2 linked regions of the Tribolium castaneum genome follow. The protein of the gene in region 2 binds, or shares a complex with, the protein of the main gene of each other region. Links are inferred from orthologs where the notes say so. Each region holds a gene or a part of one and is shown on either strand. Other genes may lie near its edges. The genes, in order: Tgt and queuine tRNA-ribosyltransferase accessory subunit 2.

Evidence for each region.
Region 1: the proteins of queuine tRNA-ribosyltransferase accessory subunit 2 (region 2) and Tgt are in contact, whole or in part, in a crystal structure (PDB 7OVS), measured with the Mus musculus proteins. The link is inferred for Tribolium castaneum from reciprocal best matches to the Homo sapiens genes QTRT2 and QTRT1. Residues at the interface, in NP_001343258.1 of Mus musculus: Arg39, Thr40, Gly41, Ser42, Ala43, Pro44, His45, Leu46, Thr47, His48, Gln49, Thr50, Asn53, Glu70, His71, Glu73, Val74, Glu77, Tyr78, Phe85, Ile86, Gly87, Phe119, Gln342, Glu343, Phe345, Tyr355, Asn359, His360, Ala363; in NP_068688.2 of Mus musculus: Thr50, Thr53, Met54, Lys55, Gly56, Ile57, Thr58, Thr59, Glu60, Gln61, Ser64, Arg80, Pro81, Leu85, Lys88, Ala89, Phe95, Met96, Asn97, Ala307, Lys308, Phe310, Pro320, Thr324, His325, Ala328, Phe329, Ala332, Leu333, His335.

Annotation. Positions count from the first base shown.
Region 1 is NC_087398.1:8,185,545-8,189,248, reverse strand, and holds Tgt (queuine tRNA-ribosyltransferase catalytic subunit), read right to left. Parts: upstream 2,350-3,704; 5' UTR 2,239-2,349; coding exon 2,110-2,238; intron 2,058-2,109; coding exon 1,968-2,057; intron 1,917-1,967; coding exon 1,624-1,916; intron 1,570-1,623; coding exon 1,408-1,569; intron 1,303-1,407; coding exon 1,134-1,302; intron 1,087-1,133; coding exon 739-1,086; 3' UTR 701-738; downstream 1-700. Other genes in the region: coiled-coil domain-containing protein 25, read left to right, coding at 22-113, 162-420, 464-663.
Region 2 is NC_087394.1:37,092,985-37,097,345, reverse strand, and holds queuine tRNA-ribosyltransferase accessory subunit 2, read right to left. Parts: upstream 2,973-4,361; 5' UTR 2,647-2,972; coding exon 2,530-2,646; intron 2,487-2,529; coding exon 1,866-2,486; intron 1,815-1,865; coding exon 1,615-1,814; intron 1,144-1,614; coding exon 1,018-1,143; intron 957-1,017; coding exon 833-956; 3' UTR 754-832; downstream 1-753. Other genes in the region: Snx16 (sorting nexin-16), read right to left, coding at 1-97, 168-345, 391-545; Nelf-E (negative elongation factor E), read left to right, coding at 3,241-3,321, 3,365-3,855, 3,906-3,960. UniProt on the Homo sapiens protein: Non-catalytic subunit of the queuine tRNA-ribosyltransferase (TGT) that catalyzes the base-exchange of a guanine (G) residue with queuine (Q) at position 34 (anticodon wobble position) in tRNAs with GU(N) anticodons (tRNA-Asp, -Asn, -His and -Tyr), resulting in the hypermodified nucleoside queuosine (7-(((4,5-cis-dihydroxy-2-cyclopenten-1-yl)amino)methyl)-7-deazaguanosine).

The sequences.
Region 1 (3,704 bases), on a different chromosome or scaffold from region 2:
GTTTCATTTGTGAACTTGCAGACGAAGATTTGATTAAATGGGGCTGGCCTGAGGACGTGTGGTTCCACGTTGATAAAGTATCTTCAGCACACGTCTATCTAAGACTACGACCCGTAAATTTGGCCTTATCTCCCTAACGTGAATTAATTATCGTCTTTTAGGGTCAGACCATTGACGATATTCCGTCTTCGGTTTTGGAAGACGCTGCTCAGTTAGTGAAAGCCAACAGCATAATGGGGAACAAAATGAACGATATTGAAGTTGTTTACACCATGTGGCACAATTTGAAGAAGACGCCTGCCATGGAAGTGGGTCAAGTTGGCTTCCACAAAGAGAAAGAAGTGAGGAAAATTAAAGTCGCAAAACGAGTCAATGAAATTGTAAATAGACTGAACCGAACGAAACGAGAGGAACATCCAGGTACTGGGTCAATTTCCCTTGGTGTTCCCCAATTTTTTGGTAGATTTTAGAGCCGAGCGGGAGAAGAGAGACAGATTAGAAAGGGAGGACAAAAAGAAGGTGTTGAGGGAGCAAAAAGAGCGGGAAAAAGAGGAAGAGAAACGGAAAAAGGAGGAGGCAGAGTTAAAAAGTTACAACTCTCTGATGAGCACTGAAAACATGTCCAAGTATGACGACGGGAACGATTCAGACGACTTCATGTAAACCGGTAACACTCCTTAATGTAAATAAGATACTTCCGTTCTTTTTTTCTATTTATTGTATAAAATAAATTAATACTTATACCGTTAGGCTTATGTTGACCGCACTTAACGAGTCCCTAACCCAAGTAGGATACTCCTTATTTGGATAAAGGTCCAACATGAATTTGCGCACAAATTCGGGGAACTTGTCTTGCTTGATACTCTCTCTGATGTCTTTCATCAAACGCATTTGAAAGACCACGTTATGTTCAGTGATTAGGTGACAGGCTGATGGGTACACTGTCACAACACCATTCAGATAAGCTCTGGTGTAGTTTTTACACGTTTTACAGGGACAGTTTTCATCAATAGGTTTGAAGTCTTTTTTGAATTTTTCTTTCTTTAAATTGAGTTGACCTGTCCTCGTTAATGCACAACCAAACCTCTATAAAAAATTCTATTAGGACAAAATTATTATATTCGGTAAATTACCGCCGTCCTTGTTGGAAAAACACAGTCAAACATGTCGCAACCTAAGGCGCAACAAATTACTAAATCTTCGGCAAAGCCAACGCCCATCAAGTAGCGGGGTTTGTCCTTTGGTAAAATATTGGTACATAAGTGGACTATTTTCCAAAAATCGTCTTTACTTTCACCTCCACTGCAAGTGTTTTATAAAAGATTAAAAGAACGTATATCAAGAGTGTTGTGAAATTAACCAGTTATCTGTCATTTGAGACTAGATAAAATATTTGTTGATAAATACCTTAGACCACCAATGGCATATCCATTGACGTGTCTCTTGATGTGATCTTTGGCGCTTATCTCACGTAAATCCTCATAGAGGGTCCCTTGTACTATTGGAAAAATGCTTTGGGTGTCCGGTTTTTTGTGCGCTTGCAAACACCGATCAAGCCACCTTGTCGTTCTATAAATCATGGGTGACTTGATTATTAAAGTAAAATCTTAATTTTGAATAAACCTGTGCACAGATTCCTCAATTCTCGCCTTATCTGGATTCGTGGTCCTGACAACATCATCCAATTGCATGACTATGTCAGCCCCGATTGCGTTTTGAATTTCAATGGAATGTTCGGGTGTCAACATAACTTCAGCCTTTTGGTCATTCAGAGGCTGAAAACGTACACCCTCCTCTGTGATTTCAGCCAATTTTAACAACGACACCATCTGGAAGCCCCCAGAATCCGTCAAAAGACAATTGTTCCAGTTCATAAATTTATGCAAACCGCCGGCTTTTTCCAAAATTTCGACACCCTACAAGTATGGATAATTTAATCTTGATTTAATTTTTGGCGAGTGTCGTACTGGTTTTGTGCCTAAATGATAAGTATTGGCAAGCATGATTTGGAGGCCGAGCTCTTCAAGCTGTTCCGGCAACATTCCTTTCAAGGTTCCCTACGTAATAATTAGAAAAGGGCGTATAATTGGGAATTTACTATTTATCTACCTGAGTTCCAACAGGCATGAATACCGGCATGTCAACGGGGCCGTGGGGCAACACCATGCGGCTTACGCGGGCCTTTGTGGTGTGGCATTCGGCAATGAGTGTGAAAACTAGCGGACTTTTTGTGGTCATAATGTTGCAAATGTTGTTTTTAATAAATAAAAATGTGTTGTAAATGAGGAATTTTTGAGGTTAAAATCACATAACCTCATAATATACTGTCAGTAGATTTGATCTCGAAAGTCAAATGTTGCGAAAAATCCGCAAAATTCGAATAAAAAAGAAAAAAACACGAAGAATCAGTTTTTTTATTAATCTATGTTATGTCCTGTATTACGTGTTATTGCACAATGCATTTTAACGATCTTAACATTTATGTAATAAAATCCAAGGCTAAATATCCCGTTTCAAATTAGCAACATCCAAACATTCCAAACTGCATTTATTTAACAAAATAGCAGATAAAAATACATTACAATTTCTGTATTGTAAAGGAATTGTGAATCAATGAGATTCACTATTCATTAAAAATAAAAAAAACTCAATACAAAAAAAATACATTTCCAAGCTGAAAAACAAACTTGTGCTGCTTTATTATTTATTTTATAAAAAATCTATAACGAGGATAATCTGGGCGACTGAATGATCGTGCTAGAAAATTATATGAAATAATTAGCATATTATTTTTAGCTGCAAGAAAAACACAATAAATGGGCAATTACAGTCATACGGGAAGCCTATCTATAATTGCATTTAAAGCTGTGTCGTAAATAAACTACGCAACAAAAAACATTAAAGTCGCTTCTCTCTAGCATCGTTTGATGCAACATATGATTCATGGTCACAATTTATTTTTACACAATGTGCATTAAATCAAAACAGTTGCACAAAAATTGAGGAATTATTACAATTTTGGCGAAAAAAACATCACATTTGTATTTTTTATTATGCTGTTGCACTTGTAAATATTGTACAAAGCGCATGTTATGCAATGCATTTACAATAATAACATAGCAACATATCGTCATCACTTCCGCCTTGAAGTAAATAAAGAAATGTGGTGCATTTTTTATTTTTATTTACGGCTAGATATGGAGGAATTTAGTTCCAGTTCTACACATACATAAAAATGCTACTGGAGAATATTGAGAAATAGCATTTGCTTATTATTTTTTAACGCAGCGACTTGGTTTGTCGCTGATGTGCAGTACCTTCAGCATTGTTAAATAATTTGTTCCTGATTCAAATGGTTATTTTTTTGTATTTGATTATGTTTTTATGAAGTTTTTTTTGATGCTGTCATCTTTATGTTATGTTTGCACTTTTTTTATTAAAAAAAAGAAATTTTTTATTCATTTTTTATGTACTGCTACTATTTGTAGCAGTTGACTTTTGCAATAAAAATTAATCTTTCTGAGGTAATAGGTAAATTCATTAATACACACATAATAAGATATTTAAACTACTTTAAATTAAGGAAAAACCATTAACAGCCTCAACTCGTCAGCACGCTGACGAATAGTTAATTACTTACATAAAACAAAACTAGAAAATAACTCAGAATAGATTTTTTTTTATTTTATTAGCCCAGGAAAAAA
Region 2 (4,361 bases):
TGCGTATTCTATTGCACAGCCTTACAAAGTCGGTGTAACGCCGGAAAACGTACCAGCAATCGCCACTCACTTTATTTTCAATGCGCAATTTGTAAACCTACATTTTTTTGATAAATTCGTTGTTTTATTCCACGTTAAAACGATAAAATGGTATTTTATTTTATTACCGTAAAACGCGCTCTTTCTTCCATAATCTCATACCCAACTATCGGAATTTGTATATTGTTGAGATTGTCTCCGTTGTATGAGAAAAAATTGGCGTTTTCTTCAGGAATCGAATTTTCTTCAACTAGTGTTGAATTGGAATCATTGGAAGTCGTGGTGGAATATTGGAAGTTGCGATATCTGTCCACTAATTAATTTCCAACTCTTTGAAGTAAAATAACTCACCTTAAAGGTTCTGATAGGTAGTCTTCAGAATCAGTCGTGATAGCCTCCTCAGCGGTCTCACAATCTTCATTATTGTTCCCTTGAAGTGGGTGCCCCATTTCTTGCACTTTAAGTTGGCTTAACTTATCGCTAATCTCTGATTTTTGCTGATCCATTGTTTAAAAATAGTCATAACCTCAAAACTGCCACGATTAATTAACACCAACTAACTGTACAAATCACTCATTGTGAAATAATTCATTTAATTAAGTATTTAGAGCACAAACGTAAATAATGGAGACAACAAACTGAATGACTTAACCTTAAAAAACAGCTGTTTTTTGCGAATCGAGGTTAAGTAAGGGGGGCGGGACTTAAGTCAAGTTATCAAACGGACAATTTATTTAAAAATAATAGAAAAACAGTCGTACAACACGAAAATTTTGTACAATTTGGTGTCCCGTCACTTGGTTTTTTGGTGGTTTTGGAATTGTTCCGTTATGCTCACTTGGAGTGCTTGTAAGGTGTTTGATTTCACGCACTTGCGGATTTTTTCGAAAAATCGCAAATAGTGGTACACATTGTGTCTGGAAAATTATTATTATTATTAATCATAATTATATTTTTTCTTCTAATTAAAATATTCACATCATCACGAGGATTGGCCCCAGGAGCTCATGTACTGATAGCAAGTGGTGTATGTATGCCCTTGAATATTTTGTGCAAGACGTGCAATTGCAACCAGTTAGAATTGGCTGAAAATCGTCCAAATATCTGAAAAAAATTGACACTTTTTGTGAGAAAATACACCAAGCATTCAATTAAATTTCGATAAAGTGGGCTGTGATTTTGGAATTAAGTTGGCAACAATAATGTCAATTCTGGTGATATGCTGCATTTGGTTCATTTTCTTGAACAAAACTTCATAAAAAAGTAATACAAAAAAACCCAAAATGTTGTCAAAAATAACGTTATTTTGCGCGAAAATCACTTAAATTGTAACGAAATTGTTTTTTTCCAGCTGTATATTAGCTGTTTCGACTTAGCACAAGAATTCGTTAAAAATAAAGGGAACCACAAATTTTATCGAAAAAAACTCGTTTTTTCAACCCTTTAACTAAATTTTGAACAAAATTCTCTCTTTTCCTTTGTGAGTTATTGTTACTAAAGCCTGAAAAATCATCATTGCCAACATAATGTTAGAACCAATTTAATCAGAAATTTAACTGAACAAAAAGTACCTACTTTGCGTCTCTTAGATTTATTTCATACGTGTCTGTCTGATCTGTTGGTTCTATCGCAAAAGTCATTGCTGCTGATCTTTCAGTGAGAATATGACAATATGAGGAGTCAAACAAATCAATCCCCATTTCGACCAAATTAATAACATTTACGGGATTCCAACAGCCTTGAATGACCCGTAGTTTATCAGTGGGTAATTTATTCTAAAAAAAAATTACCATAAAATTCGAAATAATGAAGCGGTTGTTAAATACCAAAATATTTTTCACCACGGGCTCAATTTCAGCAAATTCCAAAAACTCGGTCTCGGGACCATTATTATGAAGTCCATCTATTAAAAACCCACCTACATCTTTGACATCTGCTAGAATCGATTTGAGAAACTTTTCCCGAGCTAATTGTTTATAACCCCCCACTACAGGAGCAATCACAAACGAATTGGCTAAAGTTTGCGATTTTCGGTGTCTCTCCAAACACTCCTTGTAGAAACTGACTGTGTTACTGAGTGATTTTGAAATGCGTTTTTCCGAACTGCTGATATTGGTGTCTCCATCAGAGAGCAAGAAATAAATGTCAGGCTTGAAAGACTCCACCACGTCCATGTAGCTTTTAGCGTCGTAATAAACCTTGCCGTTTTTCGTCCAAATGGGCACTTTTAACGTGGAATTGTGCCCCTGTTTTGTGATATTGCAAGGGTCTTGAAGAGTGAGACAAGTCAGACTGTCTTTACTACCAATGAAATTGGAAATGGTCCCTTCGTAATACTGCATCGCCTCTTTAAACGTGTGCATCCCAGCTAAAGGGATTTGCAAGATCTGGGGGTCCCTACTGACCAGTTTAAACACCTCATGTGTAATGTGAGGGATTTGACCGCCCTAAATTAAATTTTAAGGACAGTTAACCAAATAGGGGACTCACCTGTGTGTGGAGCATTACTGCAGGAGTCTTGATCGAGACAGAAGGCTTGGCATCGATCTCTGAAAGAGTCCCCAAACGTTGGGCACACTTTGAGACAGATTCCACGTAAAATTTCATCGTTAATTTACACTAAATGCACTCGGAAAAGTGTGAAAAAGCAGTCTATACAACTAAAATCACTTCCAGAATTAGGTTTTGACAAATAAAGCAAACATGACATTCAAAAATCCGAAAAAAGTGGACACATGCCGGCCTAACCTTACTTTTGCATGCCTCACAAATGGGAAAAAATAGATGACAGGGCGCAAAAACACACTCATTTACGTTTTAAAAACGAACTTCACATGATTTCATTCATTAATATACCAAAACTTTGCCAGTTTTTTCATTATTTAATTGTGGTTGTTTTGTAGTTTTTTTGGCATTTTTTGTGTGGCAACGTGTGACATATCGAAATTTACAGTGGCCCAGTACAGTATTGCGTGAATTAAAAAAATAACTAGCGTATTAAATTTTGGACATTGAGTTAGCTGACTGGAATTGGTTATAAAGTGAATAGTTTATCTAAATTAAACAATTAAAATTAATTGAATTATGAACTAGTACTGTGATTTTCGACCTTTTGCACATTAAACCGCTGTTAGTGTTGATGTTTATTCATCGAACTGTCATTCAGTTTGCAAATTGGACAAGTTTTTTTTTGATTAAACGATGGTTTACATTCATTTTCCGGCAAATTTCACTGAAGAGGAGCTCATGCTCCAAGCCAAATACCAGAAACTTAAGAAAAAGGTAAGTGGAACGGTGTAAACAACCTTTTCTAACTTCCTCTCAGAAAAAGGCTTTGCAAGCCCTGAAAGCCCCCAAACCCGAGCCCGAAAAGCCCATTACGCCTAAACGGCCAGCGGAGGCTCGAGATGCTCGTGAGGTTGCGAAAAAACTTATCAAATCCGGTGCCATTCCGGCCATTTCCAAACAACAAAAACAGCCAGAACAGGGCTTTAAACGGCCTAGAGGCTTGGAAAGAAAACTGATTTCGGATAAAATTGTGAGTGGTTATCAGCCTTTTTCGGCTGTGCAGATGGACGATGGGCCTGATAACCCCGAAAATAAGCCGCCAAGGATTAAGAATTTGTATGATACTTTTGCTAATGCGCGTGATAGGGAAGAGAGGGGTTTGACTGAGAAACAGAGGGAAAAGCCGGATAAACCCAGGCAAGGGAATACGATTTATGTGTCAGGGTATAAGATAACGGAGGAGTTTTTGAAGAAGCATTTTTCAACGATTGGAAATATTGTGAATATTTCAATGGAGATTGAGAAAAAGTATGAGGGGGTACAATTTTTATGTGGGGTTTTACATGTTTGGGTTTTAGTCGCGGGTTTGTCACGTTTGATAAGGTGGAAGCCGCCGAACGGGCCATAGCTGAGGTAGGTTTTTATTTGTGATTTTTTGGTCATTGTTTACAATAGTTTTTTATTGAGTTACAAAAGAGAAAACACGAAAAAATTAAAAAAGAATTTTGTGTTTGTCTCAAAAATGTGCTTAAAGACGTGAAGAAGGTGAAGAACAGTATTTTCGGCTTAATTTGCTTGTTTTTCTTACATTTTGTAAATAATTGTGTTTCTGGATAACAAACGAGCTAGTCTTAGAAAAAAAAGGCAAGAATAATGTAATCATCGCAAAAACTGTAAGATTTTTGCTTTAAAAGTGTCTTTAAATTATTGAAAACGGTAAAAATAACAGCAACTTTGACAAAATTTTGTGTTTTTACTGATTGAATTTTCGGCACAATTTCACAAACTTTCGGGAGGAAAACTGTGATTTTGGT